Linked DNA regions of Anolis sagrei. The protein of the gene in region 2 interacts with the protein of the main gene of each other region in a pairwise test. Links are inferred from orthologs where the notes say so. Each region holds a gene or a part of one and is shown on either strand. Other genes may lie near its edges. The genes, in order: CCDC185 and KXD1.

What was found.
Region 1: the proteins of KXD1 (region 2) and CCDC185 interact in a two-hybrid assay, tested with the Homo sapiens proteins (2 studies listed by BioGRID and IntAct). The two-hybrid records come from large-scale screens. The link is inferred for Anolis sagrei from reciprocal best matches to the Homo sapiens genes KXD1 and CCDC185.

The regions. Positions count from the first base shown.
Region 1 is NC_090021.1:87,014,130-87,023,611, forward strand, and holds CCDC185 (coiled-coil domain-containing protein 185), read left to right. Parts: upstream 1-5,861; 5' UTR 5,862-5,868; coding exon 5,869-7,818; 3' UTR 7,819-7,929; downstream 7,930-9,482.
Region 2 is NC_090034.1:50,952,342-50,962,255, reverse strand, and holds the start of KXD1 (kxDL motif-containing protein 1), read left to right. Parts: upstream 1-6,074; 5' UTR 6,075-6,236; intron 6,237-9,914.

The DNA.
Region 1 (9,482 bases), on a different chromosome or scaffold from region 2:
TGGGCCGCCACATAGTCCATTTTGACCCAGTCAATTCAAGCCCCATCAGCCATCCCATTTCTGGCAGTTTGGTTTCCGGAACTGCCAGAATTCCCAGAACCCGTTTTCAAAAATGGTACCATGCACACTCCATAATCCAGGGCATGTTTACTGAGTAGTTAATCCCACTATGGTCAAAAAGGTTTGCTCCCCTTAAGACTGCAATCTAACATATTTTAGTATACCTTTGAGTTTGATTATCATGTCTACAATACTATTTCAGACCTCTTGAACATAATGGGTGTTATTTCTAAGGTAAACATACATAAGAATGTGCTATTAAACTCATAGACTTAATTTCATCTTAGGTCACTGAACTGTTACTGTTACACTACAGTAGAAGATATTGTTTTATTGTACATTTTCCCTCTTATTGTCTTACTCCTCTCTTTATAGGTATTTTTAATTGCATTATCCATACCAACAATTTCCTTTAAGTAACAAACCTCCCGTAACTGTAATTCATAATTCTTTTTGGGAACTGAGAGACAATTTTTTAAAGCCTGCTTCTTTTTATTTTCATTACTCTCTGGGCAATCTGCACTATTAAACAAATTACATCTAGCAGCTGCTTAAATTACAACTGAAAGCAAAAAAATGGTTATCTTACAATAACACAGTTATTTGGAGAGGAAAAAAGACATTGTGCAATGTATACAAGGATAAAAGAGCCCCCGATGGCGCACTGGGTTAAACCGCTGAGCTGCTGAGCTTGTTGACCAAAAGGTCGCAGGTTCAAATCCAGGGAGCAGCTTGAGCTTCCGCTGTCAGCCCCAACTTCTGCCAACCTAGCAGTTCAAAAACATACAAATGTGAATAGATCAATAGGTACTGCTCAGTCATGCCAGCCAAATGACCTTGGAGATGTCTCCGGACAATGCCGGCTCTTTGGCTTAGAAATGGAGATGAACACCAACCCCCAAAGTCAGACATAACTGGACTTAATGTCAGGGGACAACTTTTACCTTTACCTTACAGACATAATGATAGAGTTGATAGCGGGGTTGCCAGGCGCTGAAGGTGAAAATAAAGTACTCTGGAAAGGAAAGGCCTCATCCCCGCCCCCTTTCACCCAAGGTCCTCTATGGCCTAGACACCTCTTGTGGCAAAGACATCCAGATAGTACCTGCACCCAGCCTCCGGAGAAGGTCTAGAAGGGGGAGTGGGGAGAGGTCAGATGGGCTACAGAAGATAGAGAGACCCCTCGCCACCCAGAGTGGAGCCCATGTCACCTGGGTGCCCAGAAGGATGCCACCATTGGAGGGAGGGGAAGAGGCTGGCCAGGCTTGGACTCACTCCCTACCGGAAGGAAGCGCATGCTAGGCTCACTGCATACTCAGATCTGGTGCATGCAATCAGTGGAAATAATTATAATGATGAATGTTAAACTTCCATTCTATGTCTAACTTTTGTTTATTTTAATATGTATTTTATGGAAATATGTTTTAATATGTGTATTTTATGGAGTGTTTTTTAAATTATTTTGTGTTTTGATTAGGTGTTGTAATAATGTTGTAACCCACCTCAAGCCCTGAGAAAAGGCGGGTAAAAAATAAAATTATTATTATTATTATTATTATTATTATTTGATGTCCTGGACCAGGGTGCAATGGGACGTGGGACATTTTATCTAAATAAGGGACTGTCCCTTATAATCCAGGACACCTGGCAATGCTGGTTGATACTCTATCAATGGGAGTGTCTGCTGGACCTACCTCCTTCGGGGTGCCACAAAGGGGCCTCATAACTACTAATACAGGCCCTCATTTGTCCTAAATCCAGCACTGCTCATTTGAGTCGTCATTTTATAAAAAAGATACAATTTTATTATTATCCAATTGTATATAATGGAAATGGAGCAACCACAGGAGTCCTGGAACCAAGCACCAGCAGATACCAAGGAACCACTGTACTTCCATTTATCCTGTTTGTTGTAACTTTTTATAACTGTTTGTACTATTGAGAGGAGGAAACACATTAGAGGGATGAAACTGAAGTTCACAGTTCAATCTTTTAACCTTCTTGTTGTACAGTTAATTCAACTAACAGAATATATACTACAATATTCTTTATATATGCATCACCGCATGAAATAATCCATATGCTAGTGACTGGGCTAAGTGTTTGATTGTACATTACAGGGGCTAGTAATTACATCTTGTATGTGGCATTAGAAAAATCAGATTACATATGATTATCCATCCAGATTTACCAGCATTCGGCTGTAGATTCTCTGTTCCAGTGCCAAAGCACTGCACAGAAACATCCAGGGAAGAGGCAAAGGTTTCACTGACGTGATTAGTCTTCCTAGCAGGCTGAGTTCTTCCTCTGAGAAATGGAGCACTGACACTATTAACCAAGCTGGACTCCAAATGCTTTTAAAGGATTTTTAAAAGTCCAAATCTCTTGATCCTCAGATGCTGTAAAAGCTAAGGAATTAAATACTTGTGAAATGGCTGTGTGACTATGTGAGAGCTAGTCCTAGACATTTTGCTGCCTGATGTAGAGCAGAAATTGGCACTCCTACCTGCCAAATGAAACTGTATAGTACCCTAAACCAGCCATTATTTTGGTGCCTGAGGCAGAAATTCGCAATCAACTCTTTCCATCTCCTGGGCGATAAAACTATAATAACAAGAAATTAAACAGCTAACAATTCAGTGCCCTTTCATGACACCAAAACCTGCTACCAAAGATGCCTGAAGCAAGAGTGAATCACAAAATGTATATTCTCCCCCCACCCCACCCCACCCCCATCCCAATGCAGTGGTCTTTAAACCACAAGTAGATCTTTACAGCCTAGGGAAAATACTGATGGTATTACCATTTAAAATATATATTATTTCTCTTTTGAGAAAGAGAGAGAGATTTAGGAGTGAAAGAGGAAAAGAGTGACTAGATACAAATGAACATTTTTTAAAAGTTTAGTATTGTACCAAGAACCTTTCCCCCAGTATTGTATGAATTTTGAAGCCTTGGGCCTCCAAGTATGCATTCTGAACATATGCAGGAGGATTTACATGCATTTACATATGTACACACAGAGAGGCACTGGTTAAAATCTTGGCAGTTTGAAACTGCCAGCCGCAGCAAGAGAGTTCCAAAAAGGACTACACTAAGGGGCACTGCGACACTACACAAGTATAGTATTTACATATATACACACAGAAGTCTTAACAGGATCACATAAACCTTAAGGTTCTACTTTTACTGCCATGGTTCCATGGAATATTGGGATTTGCAGTTCATTGTGTGCCTTAAAATTATTTTCAACTTCATGTGGCCCTAAGGCAGACTATTGGAAGAGCAATAAATCACAGAGTTTCCTTGGTAAGATTTGTTAAGGAAAAAGTTGCCTTCATCTGAGACTGCATGACTTACCCAAGGCCATCATCTAACAGAGTTCACGGCCAAGTGGGGAGTTGAACCCTGCTCTCCAGAGTGCTCTCCAGAGTCTACTTCAATGCTCAAATCACTACACCAGTCTGGAGTTTCCTCCTGTTTGGTAAAGTCCAGCTTTACTTCCCCATTTCTCAATTTGTTGGTGTTAAAAGTTATTTTGCAAGGGAAACATTTTGAATGCCACAAACTGCTGGTCTGTGAAGCAAAGCACAGACCAATGCTACATAGTTGCCTCAGCATTCCAAGACTCAGGAATAGTTCAATGAGATTCCTCCTGTAGTAGACCAGATGCCAGATTAATGTAGTTTCTGGTTGCTTGAGAGTTACTATTACAAATGGGCTTAACTAGCACTATACACTAAGCCTGGGTAACAACGAAAAAAATTGTTTCTAAAATCGATTTGTATTTGGGGGGTTTTTTTGTTTCGATATTTAAAATAATTACAAAATTTTCCTTTTAAAAAGTTCGATATTTACGAAATTTCGTAAATGGTAAAAAAATTAACGAATCGATTTCCGAAACAATAACGAATCGATTTGTTAATGGCAGACGCGACCGCGAAATACGCTAAAAAACCTCCAAAACCTTCTGAAGCTTCCCTCTCCCTCTGTTGTTGACTGTTGGTGTGATTTTATAATTTTTTTTCACTAATTAAACCATAAAACTGGCCCAGTCATGCGGAAATAATAACGAAACGACCTCAAAACAATAACGAAATGAATACAATATCGAAATACGAAGCATTTACAAAACGTTTTTGAAAATTCTTTTTTTTAATAATTGCTCCAGAATGGTTCGTTATCGTTTTGTAATTGAAAAAATTAACGAATTATTAACGAATTACGAATTAACGAAACGAAACCGCCCAGCCCTACTATACACCATGCTATACCATACCACAAACTTTTTACAAACTTTATTACTATGTTATTATTTTATTTGATGTTAGTTTTGTTTATATGTACTTTTGCTCTATTGTAATTTGTATGGGCATGGCCTCATGTTAGCCGCCCCAAATCTCTTTGGAGAGATGGTGGCAGGGTATAAATAGTTTATTGTTGTTGTTATTATTATTATTCTATTTTTTGCTGGTTGTGTGAGAGTTCCTGTTAACTAAGAGTCTACTGTAGTTTGTTACAGGAGTCTTTAATATTTATTGACTGTTATAGCAGTGTTTTGCATTTTTTTAAAAAAAGTCCAACTTCCCTCTTTCTCAAATTGCTGCTAACCTTCTAAGGGAAAAAGTGGGGAATGGCACAGGCTGCTGGCCTGTGAAAGCAAAACACAGGTTGTGTGGCATTTTGCTAAACATCCCCAACTGAGCAAGACCCAGGAATGCTCCCAGAGCTGGGAAAAGACCCATCCAATCCAACTCCATTGTGCCATGCAATCCTGCACGACTTTGGCATGGGCAAACTTTGGTCCTCCAGGTGTTTTGGACTTCAACTCCCAAAATTCCTAATAGCTGGCTGACTATGGGGCCTTCCACACAACCTTATATTTCAGAATATCAAGGCAGAAAATTCCACAATATCTGCTTTGAACTTATTTGAGTCCAGCTAGTCCTAGACATTTTACGGTATGATGTAGAGTTGCAATTGTCACTCCCACCTCCCAAATGAAACTGTATAATACCCAAAGGGCCCTTCCGCATAGCCCTATATCCCAGGATATCAAGGTAGGAAATCCCACATTATCTGAGTATGGACTCAGATAACCCAGTTCAAAGCAGATATTGTGGGATTTTCTGCCTTGATATTCTGGGATACAGGGATATGTAGAAAGACCCTCTGAGAGAGCTAACCCTAAACATTTTGCAGCCTGGTGTAGAGCAACAATTTACACTTCCAGCTCCCAAATGAAACTTCATAGTACCCTAAACCTGCCATTATTGTAGTGCCTGAGACAGAAATTCCCACCATCATCTCATTCCATGGGCGATAAAAACTATAACAATAAATTAAGCAGGTAACAATCCAGTGCCCTTTCATGACATCAAAACCCTGCTACCAAAGATGCCTGAAGCAAGAGGGAGCCACAAAATGTGTGTGTATTGTGGCTTTCATGGCCAGAATCATTGGGTTGGTGTAAGTTTTCCGGGCTGTATGTATATTCTTTTCCCTACCCCATCCTAATGCAGCTGTTAGGAACTGTGGGAGTTGAAGTGAAGTTTGCCCACGCCTGCTTGAGGATCTCCTCTATTTGACTCTTTCGAGTTCACGTTGGGACTGAAGGGGAGAGCTGGTCACGTGGGAGGAAGGGGTGAGGAAGTCCCTCTCTGACCAGCCCAGCCCCGCCCGGCTCGGGCTGGAGGGCGGGGCGCGCGGTCTCCTTGGCGACGCTTGTGACGCGCGCGCGCTGCCTATGTGGCGCCGGGGCGCGCGTGGCGGGGGGCGGGGCCGGGGGGGCGCGAGGGCACTCGGGCCATGCGGCGGCAGCAGCAGCGACGGCGCCGCGCGCGTGGCGGGTGGGCGGCGTGCGTGGGCGGCGAGGAGGAGGCGGGCAACCAGACCAGCAGCCGCCGCGCCGCGGGCAAGAAGAAGCCGCCCGCCCCGTCGTGCTGCAGCCTGTCCGGCGCGGAAAGCCCGCGGGAGATGGCGAGGCGCAAGAGCCCCGGGCGCTTCTCGCCGGCGTGCGGCTTCCTGGAGGCCTACAGCTCGGAGCCCGAGGTGGCGGGCGGCGAGGGCCGGAGGGGCCGCCTGGCCGGTCGGCCGGGAAAGAGCCGCGCCTGCTCCTCCTCGCTCCGCCGGCCCAAGCCCGCCTCGGCGCGCCGCCTCTCGGCCTGGCAGCCCGGGGGAGAGGGCTGCGCCACGCCCGGCACGGCCACCTCTTGCACCACCCTCTACGGCGGGGACTGGCCCGCCGGCCCGCGCGCCGAGGAGCCCTGGGCCAGCCCCGTGCCCCGCCCGCTCGACTACGCCGCCGCCGACTTCCCCACCGACGCCAGCAAGCCGGCCTCGCGCTGCCCCTCCTCCTACTCCTCCCTGGGCCCGCCCCCGAAGCCCGAGGCCAAAGAGCTCAGCCGACGGGACTGGCGGGAGCTCTGCGGGAGCAGCCCCAGCCTCGTGGACCTCATGCACTCCTTGCGGAAGTACGAGGAGGAAGAGGAGGAGGAAGCTGCTGCTGCTGCTGCAGCCTATGACCCCATCGGTGCCACCCCACACCTCCGCCACCCCCAGAAGCAGCCCAGGAAAGCCCACGACCACCAGATCCACCTCCATGACTTGGTGGACAAGCGCTACGAGGACCTGCTCCCCGAAAGGGACAAGAAGATCGCTGCCCTGATGCTGGCCCGGCACCAGGAGGAGGAGGAGATGAAGGACAGGCAGCTGCGGGTTTCCGACGCCTGGGAGAACCTGAGGCGGAAGGAGAAGAAGCACAAGGCCCGGCTGGACAAGGAGCGCCGGTACCATGTGGCCGACAGCCTGGAGCAGTGGCAGCGGGACCGCGACCAGAGGCTCTCCAAGCTCCGGCTGGAGGAACAGCAGCTCTTAGCCTCCAGGGAGAGGGACATGATGCTCCGCGACAAGAAGTGGAAGAAGCTGGCCAAAGAACAGGAGTCTCGGCGCAGAGAGAAATGCGAAAGTGCCCGGCTTCAAGCCGAGTACCGGAAACGTTGCCAGGAGAAGCAACTCTGGGAGAAAAAGCTAAGCGAGAGGAGTGCTCGGGAGCAGAGCTCTCATGCCTACAAGGAGAAGATGCTGCAGGCCCTGGAGAAGAGGCTGATGAAGGAAATGGAAAGGAAGAGGCGGAAAACAGATATGAATGAATACAGGCGGGCCCAGCACATGCACAAGGACCAAATGGATGACCGGCTGAAAGCGGATGAGCTCTACAAGAGGCTCTGTATCGAGCAGAAGCTCCAGCGGTCTCAGGAGATCCTGGAGCAGCTGCTGGAAGAGAGGAACAGGGAACTGAAGGAAAGGTCTTTCAAAGAGGAGGAGCAAGGCATGATCGCCAAGGTGCGAGCCAAAGAGACGGAGGAGGAGAAGAGACGGCGGAAGGAGATGTTGCTGCAGATTGCCGAGATGAAGATCCAGCAGGCCAGAGAGATCATGTCCAAAAATATTGATGACCGAGCACAGCATGTAAAAGAAATGAACTGCCTGAAGGAAAGGAACCACCATTGCCGCAAACAGAAGCTCGATTACGATGAAAAATGTCACCTACGGGAGTTGCAAGAAGCACTACGACGGAAGGATCAGAAAAGCAATCAGATCCTAAGGCACAAAGACACGGCTATTGAAGAATCGAGGAAAATTGCCAAAGCATCGTATGACCTTAGGGAAAAAGTGAGAGATCTGATCAACCATAATTCATTCGATCAGATGGCATTAGATGCCCATCGCAATGCAAGCGTCCTTAGAGGTCTCTAGTGAAGTGTAACGAAACATCCCAGAATGTCTTGTGCCCCTCAAAACATGGTTGTAATGTGTTCATTTTGTAGAATTATGCACTGCTGTACACTAAAGTGGTTTCAGCCTTAATTCATGTTTGACTCATAAGTCTTTGGTTGGATTGTGATTTAAAGAAGCTGTATACCACATCTCACTTAGCTTTATATATTGTATCTCATATATTACTTGGATTTGAACGTAAGTCACTACAGCTTTATACAATTAATTGTAGCCATGACATAATGGGTGATACCTTTTAATTTAATATTTCTGTAACAATCCTTTTAAGTGTGTTTTTACAATGGCAACCTGAAGTTCTTCATAAATTCTTGATTTCACATATATTTAATGACATTAGCATTTCATATCCAAGTATGCATCCATCACTCATAATCAAGAACATAGTGAAAGTTGCTCAATATTTTTATATTTCAATAAATATTTCTATAGTTCAATAAATATTTTTATACCCAAAGAAGCAAGTCTCCAGTGCACATAGCTAGCCCACTTATTTCTGTGAATCATATCATGGTGTCCATTTGGGGTGGCAAAGTGCCCCCTCAGATAATCTTGGGCTGAAATTCCTAAAATTTAAACACACTCAAATACACTGGGCTTTTGTGGGATTCGGTGAATTAGTGTATTCCCCATTAAGAATCATTTGACTGTTGGCTTCCCATTCCATTTATGTCAACATAAGATAGGTTGATTTTACTGGGATTTACAACAGTGCAATCCTTTGAATCAGCATCATAATTTAATCACTGGCAGGCTGAGGGTGTCTGAAGCAGAGAGGCAATCAAAGCATTCTTTCTAGAGGTTATCTATAGACGACTGGAACAAGTGTTACGTATAACTTTTCCCCCACTGGAAAAGAATATCCCACTTCTGACACCAATTTGTCATGAATGACTTTTCAATAACTTTGAAGCATAGGCGCTTTTTATTGCAATTTCCAGTGTGAGAGGGTATATCAGATTACAGAAAAACATTTAGACAAAGAATGGCATTGGACATGCAAACATACAGATTCTATGCAACTACATTGGATTTACAATTACATGGCTAACTAACAAAGGGGAATTACATTTTCACTCAACATTCACACCACATGTACATGCATTCATCTTCATGCATCCAAATATTACCATATCCTTTTCTCCCTCCTTGGAGAAGCACCTGTTAGGCCTGCTTTCCTGCAGCCTGCCAATGCATTGTTCCAAAACTTCCATAATGCCATAACTTCAAAACTCCAAAATACATCCTTTCCCTAAGCACAATGCCAAGGACCAAACCTCTGTTTTCTATACAGCAGAACCTGACTCCCTGCACAAAATCCAAGACTCCAAGGGCACACTTCTTCCTCTTCCCTTGAGAAAGAAGACCCAAAGTGATCAGACTGCTCCCTTGCAAATCTGCCACTCCATGATACACTATCTCTCTCCTTCCCATGGAGCAGAGTATAGCGGGTGGAACAGACTCCTCTGGTCTGCCACAACTTGGGCATTATTAGACTGAGTCATAAAAGACTCTGCTGATGTAGTCCCAAAGTTGTAAATGAATGATAGACTTCTTCCATCCTGGCTTCATCTCAGTTTCTTGACTAGATGTTGATCTTGATTGGTGTTGACAAACACAAGGCT
Region 2 (9,914 bases):
ATACACATATACACACACAAAATACATATACACAGACTGGGCCACAGCAACGTGTGGCAGGGAATGGCTAGTAGAATACTAAAAATACTAAGAAGAAAAATATAAATAAATAAATATAATATTGTTAATTTATATTACTACTATACAATCTATATACCTAATAAAAGTGAAAAATCATCTTGATTTATAGGAATTATAGTTCACCAACATCCAGAGAACACTGTGAACCCAAACAATAATCGATCTGGACAAAATTTGACATGCATACTTGATATACCAAAATACTAGTGGGGTTTGGGGGGGGGGGGAGGGATTGGCCTTGACATTTGTTAGTTGTAGGTACCGGGATCTATAATTCACCTGCAATCAATGAGCACTCTAAACTCTACCGAAGAGGGAATTGGACCAAACTTGACACACAGAGCCCCCATGACCAGGAAGAAATACTGGAGGTCTTTGGGGGGAAATTCACCTTGATTTGGGGGAGTTGTAGTTCAACTACATCCAGAGAGCTCTGTGAACCAACACCAATGGATCTGGATCAAACTTGGCACACCGACCTCATGTGCCGAAATGTGATTACTGGAGGAATTTGGGGGGAACCAACCTTCATTTCTGGGAGTTGTAGTTCACCCACAACCAGGGAAACTGTGACGTCCATCAATGGTGGACCTGGACCAAATTTGGCACACAGACCCCTGTGACTTACTCATCCTCCTGGAGGGGTTTGAGGGGAGAGAATCACCATAGTGGGAGTTGTAGTTTACCCTGCAGCCAGTTAGTACACTGAACCCCAGCCATGATGAATCTAGAGCAGTGGTTCTCAACCTTCCTAATGCCACGACCCCTTAATACAGTTCCTCATGTTGTGGTGCCCCCCAACCATAAAGTTATTTTCGTTGCTACTTCACAACTGTCATTTTGCTACTATTATGAATTGTAATGTAAATATCTGTTAAGCAAGATGTATTTTCATTCACTGGACCAAATTTGGCACAAATACCCTATATGTCTAAATTTGAATACTAGTGGGACTTGGGGGGGATTGATTTTGTCATTTGGGAGCTGTAGTTGCTGGGATTTATAGTTCACCTACAATCAAAGAGCATTCTGAACTCCACCAAGGATGGAATTGAATCAAAAAGGCTCACAGAACTCCCATGACCAACAGAAAATACTGGAAGGTTTTGGTGGGCATTGACCTTGAGTTCTGCAGTTGCAAATCACCTACATCCAGACAGCACTATGGACTCAAACAATGATGAGTCTGGACCAAGCATGGCACGGATACTCAATATGCCCTGATATGAATACTGGTGGAGCATGGGGAAAACAGACCTTGACATTTGGGAGTTGTAGTTGCTTGGATTTATAGTTCACCTACAATCAGAGAGCATTCTGAAGCCCACCAATGATAGAATTGGGCCAAACCCCCCACACAGAACCCCCATGTGGGCCACAGCAACGCGTGGCAGGGGACAGCTAGTATTTACATAAAACTGTAATTTTTACATATTTGTTTTTGTAAAATATTTGCATAAAACTGGTGGAGCTTGGGGATAAGGCTGTCCAACTCTGATTAAACCATTACTCTAACCTTCTTCGGTGTAAATGTGCTTTCGTATACTTCCAATAATAATAAAGAGAGTAAAATAATAAATATAATAAAAAATAACAATAATACAGTAAAATAATAAATGTAATAATAATAGAGTGAAATAATAAGTGTAATAATAACAATAATAGAGCAAAATAATAAATGTAATAATAATCATTAGAGTAAAATAATAAATGTAATAATAATAAATGGAGGTGCTCTTGGGGGAAAATAGACCTTGACATATGCGAGTTGTAGTTACTGGGATGTATAGTTCACCTACAGTCAAAGAGCATTCTGAACTCCACCAATAATAAAATCGGGCCAAATTTCCCACACAGAACCCCCACAACCAACAGAAAATACTGTGTTTTCTGATGGTCTTTGGCGTTCCCTCTGACACCCCATCGCGACCCCCCCCCCAGGGGTCCCGACCCCCAGGTTGAGAAACTCGGAGCAAACATAGCAAACTTGAAGTACTGATGGACTTTCTCGGGGTTAACCTGGCATGATGTGAGTTGTAGTTCACCCACAACTTTATGCATTTAGGACATTTACAAAACTGACTTTTTCAAATAACATGGGCAATGCCAGGCACCCAAGCTAGTAATAAGTAAAAGAAAATACAACAACATGAAACCAGTAATAACATTACATAAAATAAAATAATAAAATTAGTATAATATAATATTATGTGTGTGTGTGTGTGTGTGTGTGTATTACTAATCTATACACATAATAAAAGTGAAAATGTGTATGACTGTATGTGGTGGAGGTGTCCAGTTACACAGACAGCCTCCTGCCTCCACAAAGGCTATAGTTCCCACTATGCAGGAAGCACCGATTGCCCTCCCTCCACTGACATTCCAGGTTAGAGTGGGCACTATGAACATGTTTCCCTACCCCTGGCAATGTCGTCCCCAAACACCATACTGCACGACACCCAAGGAAAGCTTTCATTCAGAGACGAATTCATCCTAGATGTTCTGTTTTGCCTCCAACAAACAACAACAGAGAGGAAACAAAAAAGGACTTCTAATCACCTCTCAACAAAAGTTTGCTCCAGGCACTGTCAGGCCATTATATCAAGGTGGTCAGCTGAAACATTCACACCTAGCTCCAACAGACAAGAGTCCTTTGTCTCACCCTGGTCATTCCACAGATATATAAACCCTTTTTCCTAGTTCCAACAGACCTCACTACCTCTGAGGATGCTTGCTATAGATGCAGGTGAAACGTCAGGAGAATGCCTCTAGACCATGGCCATATAGCCCGAAAAAACCTACAACTCAGTGATTCCGGCCATGAAAGCCTTCGATAATACATTAAACAATGCTTTTTTCAAATAACTCGTGGACCGCCGAGTCCCCAAGCTAGTATTACTAATAGACATAAAATTAATATAAAACAATATAATATATGTATAATAATAATAATAATAATAATAATAAAACTTTATTTATACCCCGCTACCATCTCCCCAAGGGACTTGGAGTGGCTTACATGAGGCCAATCCCAACAACACATCGATAAAAACAACAAGCAATAAGCAAAATAAATAATACAATTAATATAACTCACACATAGACAATAACACACAATGATTTCAAAACCTATGGCTGGGCCAGATGTAATTAAACCAAAAGTAGAGAGCAACCCAACGGGTAATTAAAGTGCTTCTGAGGATATTTTATATATTATAAATATACAATTTAATAATAATAATAATAATAAGAGAAGAATGTGGGATATAAATATAGTGCTAAAATATTACTAATAAAAATAAATTAAATTAAATATAATTAATATAATATTATGGGTGTGCATATATTACTAATATACAATTTAATAATAATAGGAGAAGTGGGATACAAATATTACTAATAAGAATAAAATAAAATAAATAAAATAGAATTAATATCATATAATATTATGAGTGTGCATATATTACTAATACACAATTTAATAATAATAAGAGTAGTGGGATACAAATATTACTAATAAGAATAAAATTAAATAAATAAAATATAATTAATATCATATAATATTATGTGTGCGTATATATTACTAATATACAATTATTATTAGCATTATTATTATAAGAGAAGAAAGGAGGATATAAATATAATATTAAAATAGGAATAATAGAATAAAATACATATAATATAAAGTGTATATATTACTAATATATTATTTAATAATAATAATAATAATAATAATTTTATGATTTCCTCATGGCGGTTCACGGCACAGTCAAAACACACAAACATTGCAAGAAAAAAAATCCATAAACGCATGTATTAAAATGTTAGTTCTAGAATATACCAATTCTATCAAATGCATATGGAGTACACAGGGCAGAGATTGAAACACATTGAGAAACCTAAAGACTGTAGACATTATGCTGGGTGGAAGGAGGAAGAAATTAAAAGCAGGAGAGAAGCCAGATTCTGAATGTCTTGCACTCATCTTGCAAGCCATTGCAAGCAGAAGAGAGAAGCGACCCATTGCAATGCAAAGGCAGTAGGGTGGGCAGGAAATGGCATGGCTTTTACCCCAATCTCCAATCCCCCTTCACTTTCCTCTGCTTGCAAAACACTCACCTGGACCCAGGAATTGCTCACTTCCTTGGTCCCGCCTCTCTTTCCATCAGCTGATGGCCGAGGAGGCGGCTGATAGGCTGCGAGAGCTGCCACTCCAGCCTGACCTCCGCACACCCCCATTGCGCAACCTCTTAAAGGGACAGTGACCATCCCCAGACTGTATATTTACCACCAGCTTTCTACTTATGCCTTTTCAGACTACAGTTCTCATCAGGCTTCTCTTTGTGATTACAGTTCTCACCAGCTTTTCCTTAATGTCTTTACAGACTACATTTCCCATCAGCCTCTCTGTCTTTTCAGATTACAGTTCCCATCAGCCTTGACTTTGTGACCTTTCGGATTACAGTTCCCATCAGCCTTTCCTTAATTTCTTTACAGACTACAGTTCCCATCAGACTTTGTGTCATTTCAGATTACAGTTCCCATCAGCCTTTGTGTCTTTTCAGATTACAGTTCCCATTAGTCTTCCCTTTGGGTCTTTATAGACTACAGTCCCAATCTGCCTTTATGTCCTTTTGGACTACAGTTCACACCAGCCTTCCCTTTGTGTCTTTAAACTACAGTTCCCATCAAGCTTCCCTTTGACTTTACAGACTACGGTTCCCATCATCCTTCCCTTTGTACCCTTTCGGATTACAGTTCCCATTAGCCTTTCCTGAATGTCTTTACAGACTACAGTTCCCATCATCCTTCCTTTTGGGTCCTTACAGGCTACAGTTCCCATCAGCTTTTCCTTAAGGTCTTTACAGACTACAGTTCACATCAAGCTTTCCTTTGTGTCTTTACAGACTACAGTTCCCATCATCCTTCCCTTTGTGTCTTTACAGGCTACAGTTCCCATCAGCTTTTCCTTAAGGTCTTTACAGACTACAGCTCACATCAGCTTTTCCTTAAAGTCTTTACAGACTACAGTTCACATCAAGCTTTCCTTTGTGTCTTTACAGGCAACAGTTCCCATCAGCTTTTCCTTAAGGTCTTTACAGACTACAGTTCCCATCAAACTGACCTTTGCCCCGATCCGAGGTTTTAAAATGAATCTGCGTATTCAGGATGACTCAGTGGAGAGAATGAAGTAATACTTTAACTGGAAGAATAATATAATATTTTATATTGACATATAATATTAATAATAATATTATACATTATAATACTAATAATAATATGATATAATACATAATACTAATATTGTGCTATGCTAATAATATCATATATTACATATTCATATAATATTAATAATACACTATAACAATATATAATACTAATATTGTGCTATGCTAATATTATCATATATTATATATTCATATAATATTAATAATACACTATAATAATATATAATACTAATATTGTGCTATGCTAATATCATCATATATTATATATTCATATAATATTAATAATACACTATAATAATATATAATACTAATATTGTGCTATGCTAATATCATCATATATTATATATTCATATAATATTAATAATACAATATAACAATATATAATACTAACATTGTGCTATGCTAATATTATTATATATTATATATTCATATAATATTAATAATGTAATATAATACTATATAATACCAATATAACACTAATATATGAAATATATTACTGCTGATAATATATAATAATATAAAAATGGCAATACTATTTTATTGTTTTCTGAAAAGATGAAGCGGGATATCAATCCAAAAAAATCGATGAATGAATAAATCTAATATCTGTGTTATTGCATTCCCATAACATAGAGAGGGCGTGGTTTAGCCCTCTTTTTATCCCCCAATGAAAATGCGGCGGGGGCGGAGCCAACGGAGTAGGAAGCAAAGCGCAGGCGGGTCCACCATTGCTAGGGTAACCACGCAGGGCACGTCCAGGGACGCAAAGCCTATGTCAGCGCGTAGCCACGCCCCACCCGGAAGTGAGCCGTTAGAGGCTGTTGGAAAGGAGCCTTCCGGTGGGGCTGAGTGGAAGAAGCGCTCTCTCTCAGCGCAGGCCTCGGTCGCGTCAGGGATGTGAGCTTTTGGCTTTGGAGCTTCTTTCAGGTGCGTCGGGGGCGGGGCCAAAATGGCCATTGGGGAACAGTGAGTGGGCGGGGCCTGACCCGATGGAGTGTCTCAGGGGGCGGGGTTGTGGGCGGAGCTTGGGGAAGGGGCGGAGTTTGGGAAGGGTCCTCTTCTGCCAACACAGATACAGACTTATAGAATCATAGAATCAAAGACTTGTCAGCTGGAAAGGAGGGGGTTTCCTATTGGGAAGGGCTTGTTGGCTTTCACAAGGGGCAATCCTTGTGAGGTTTGTGGGCTACTGAGCACAGAAGTCATAGAATCATAGAGTTGGAAGAGACCCCATTCTGCCATGCAGGAAAAGCACAGTCAAAACACCCCTGACAGAAGGCAATTTAGGCTTACAATTTAGAGTTACAAGCTGGGTAGGTGCAGAGAATGCTGTGGATTTCAGTAAGGCCTTCAACAAGGTCCCCCATGACCTTCTGGCAAACTAGTCCAATGTGGGCTAGCCAAAACTACGGTTAGGTGGATCTGTAATTGGTTAAGCGGACGAACCCAGAGGGTGCACACCAATGTATTGTCAAAGGCTTTCATGGCCGGAATCACTGGGTTGTTGTAGGTTTTTTCGGGCTGTATGGCCATGGTCTAGAGGCATTCTCTCCTGACGTTTCGCCTGCACTTGGCAAGCATCCTCAGAGGTAGTGAGGCCTGTTGGAGCTAGGCAAAAGGGTTTATATATCTGTGGAATGACCAGGGTGAGACAAAGGACTCTTCTCTGTTAGAGCTAGGTGTGAATGTTCCAACTGACCACCATGATTAGCATACAATGGCCTGACCGCGCCTGGGGCAAGCTTTTGTTGAGAGGTAGATGTCCTTGCCTGTTTCCTCTGTTGTGCTGTTGCAATTTTAGAGTTTTTTAATACTGGTAGCCAGATTTTGTTCATTTTCATTCTTTCCTCCTTTCTGTTGAAATTGTCCACATGTTTGTGTATTTCAATAGCTTCTCTGTGTAGTCTGACATGGTGGTTATGAGAGTGGTCCAGCATTTCTGTGTTTTCAAATAAAATGCTGTGTCCAGGTTGGTTCATCAGGTGCTCTGCTATGGCTGATTTCTCTGGTTGAAGTAGTCTGCAGTGCCTTTCATGTTCCTTGATGCGTGTCTGGGCAATACTGCTGCATTTGGTGGTCCCTATGTAGACTTGTCCACAGCTGCATGGTACACGGTAGACTCCTGCAGAGGTGAGAGGATCCCTTTTGTCCTTTGCTGAACGTAGCATTTGTTGGATTTTCTTGGTGGGTCTGTAGATAGTTTGTATGTTGTGTTTCCTCATCAGCTTCCCTATGCGGCACTACAAATAAGATACATGCAGTGTGCATAGGAATTCATTCATTTTTTTCCAAATTATAATCCGGCCCTCCACCAGTTTGAGGGACTGTGACCTGGCCCTCTGTTTAAAAAGTTTGTGCACCCCTGTTCTAGAGGCATTTTCTCCTGACGTTTCGCCTGCATCTATGGCAAGCATCCTCAGTGGTAGTGAGGTCTGCTGGAACTAGGAAAAAGGGTTTATACATCTGTGGAATGACCAAGGTGGGACAAAGGACTCTTGTCTGTTGGAGCTAGGTGTGAATGTTTCAACAGCAGTACAATACAATACAGCAACATAAAATATAAACAAAAAAATAACATCACAGTAAAAATAAACCGATAAAATAAAATAAATAATATAAAATAACATAATATAAAATCAAACACAATAGGTAGGCCAGATGTTTGACATAAAATTATAAAACACTAGATGAGATAGCAATGAAAAGTGCAATTTGTAGGGAAGGAGCTCGTAGAGGACTGAACAGTGGAGTTAAACTTTCAATAAGTTGGGGGAAAGTGCAATATGGGGAGAATGCTCTTTGAATGCAATTTTCCTGCTGCTTGGCACTGGATGGTTTTGAGGTCTCTTCCAACTCTATGATTCTATGATTATGATTCTAAGATCCGATGGGCCATCTCGTCTGACCCCATTCTGCCATGCAGGAAAAGCACAATCAAAATACCCTTGACAGAAGGCAATTTAGGCTTCTCAGCTGTTAAACTGAAATCCCTGGTTATCTCTTTGAACTGTTAAGGACAACGTTATGCCAATGCACAACATATATACCAGATCTTCAGAAGTGCATGTGAAAAAGATCTCTCTGCCCCGGAGTGTGGCTGGGGCTCCTTCTTTGGGGGCTTTGAAACAGAGGCTGGATGGCCATCTGTCAGAGATGCTTTGAATTCAATTTTCCTGCTTCTTAGCAGGGAATTGGACTGGATGGCCCATGAGGTCTCTTCTAACTCTATGATTCTATGATTATATTTTCTCCTTTTTCTTTTATATTTGTTTATATGCCTATATGTACTTTGGTATAAGTCTAAGTCAAACTCAATGTATAAGTCAAAGGCAGGTAGGAGAGCCAAAATGAGTCACCTTTCACCACTCAGAGAAAGGGATAGTTCCATTTTTTTTTACAAGAGTTAAGATGCAGTATTTACATTGATGTTTCATATACACCTTATACACATAAGTCTGAAGACTGTTGCACATGAAACTAAGTCCATGTATATTAAGCTACCAGGCTTTTAAACAGAGGTTGGATAGCCATCTTTCGGGGGTGCTATCTACACCCCGCCTTTCTCTACCCCAAAGGAGGCTCAAGGCAGCTTAAAAGGTAAGGTAAAGGTTGTCCCCTGACATTAAGTCCAGTCATGTCTGACTCTGGGGGTTGGTGCTCATCTCCATTTCTAAGCCGAAGAGCCGGGGTTGTCCGTAGACACCTCCAAGGTCATGTAGCCAGCATGACTGCATGGAGCGCCATTACCTTCCCGCCGGAGCGGTAACTATTGATCTACTCACATTTGCATATTTTCGAACTGCTAGGTTGGCAGGAGCTAGGGGTGACAGCAGAAGCTCACGCTGCTCCCCGGAATCAAACCTGCGACCTTTAGGTCAACAAGCTCAGCAGCTCAGCGCTTTAACCCACTGCGCCACCGGGGGCTCCTTACATGGCAACTTACATGGAGGCAATTATTCAATGCCTTAAAACACATTCAATTAAAAAAAATTAAATTAGATTAAAATTAAAAACATATTAAACATTTAAAAGCATTCTATTCCATATTATTATTATTATTAAACTTTATTTGTACCCCGCTAGCATCTCCCGCAGGACTCGATGCTGCTTACAAAGGCCAAGGCCTCAACACAACAACAGCAAAACAATAACAATACAATTTAAAGCAAATTAAAACATATGCAATAACAAAACATTACATCATTACGCAATAAAAACCAGGGCCGGGCCAGTGATGGGTACAGGTTAAAAGTGCTGGGTGTGGCAGGAGGTATGTTGGATTTCCGGGCAAGTGCAATGTGCAGAGAGTCTTAAACTCTAATAAAGTGCTTAAAATCACACCATCCATAGTCATTCCATATATTCCAGATCTGTTAATTGCACTGCACTATTCTCCGAAGGCCCGGCCCCACAGCCAAGTTTTTACCTTTCTTCTGAAGGCTAGGAGGCAGGGGCCTGATCTAATGTCACTGGGGAGACAGTTCCATAGCCGAGGGGCCACTACTGAGAAGGCCCTGACTCTCGTTCCCACCAGTCAGGCCTGCGAAAGAGGTAGGACTGAGAGTAGGGCCTCCCTGGACAATCTTAATCTCCGAGATGGTTCAT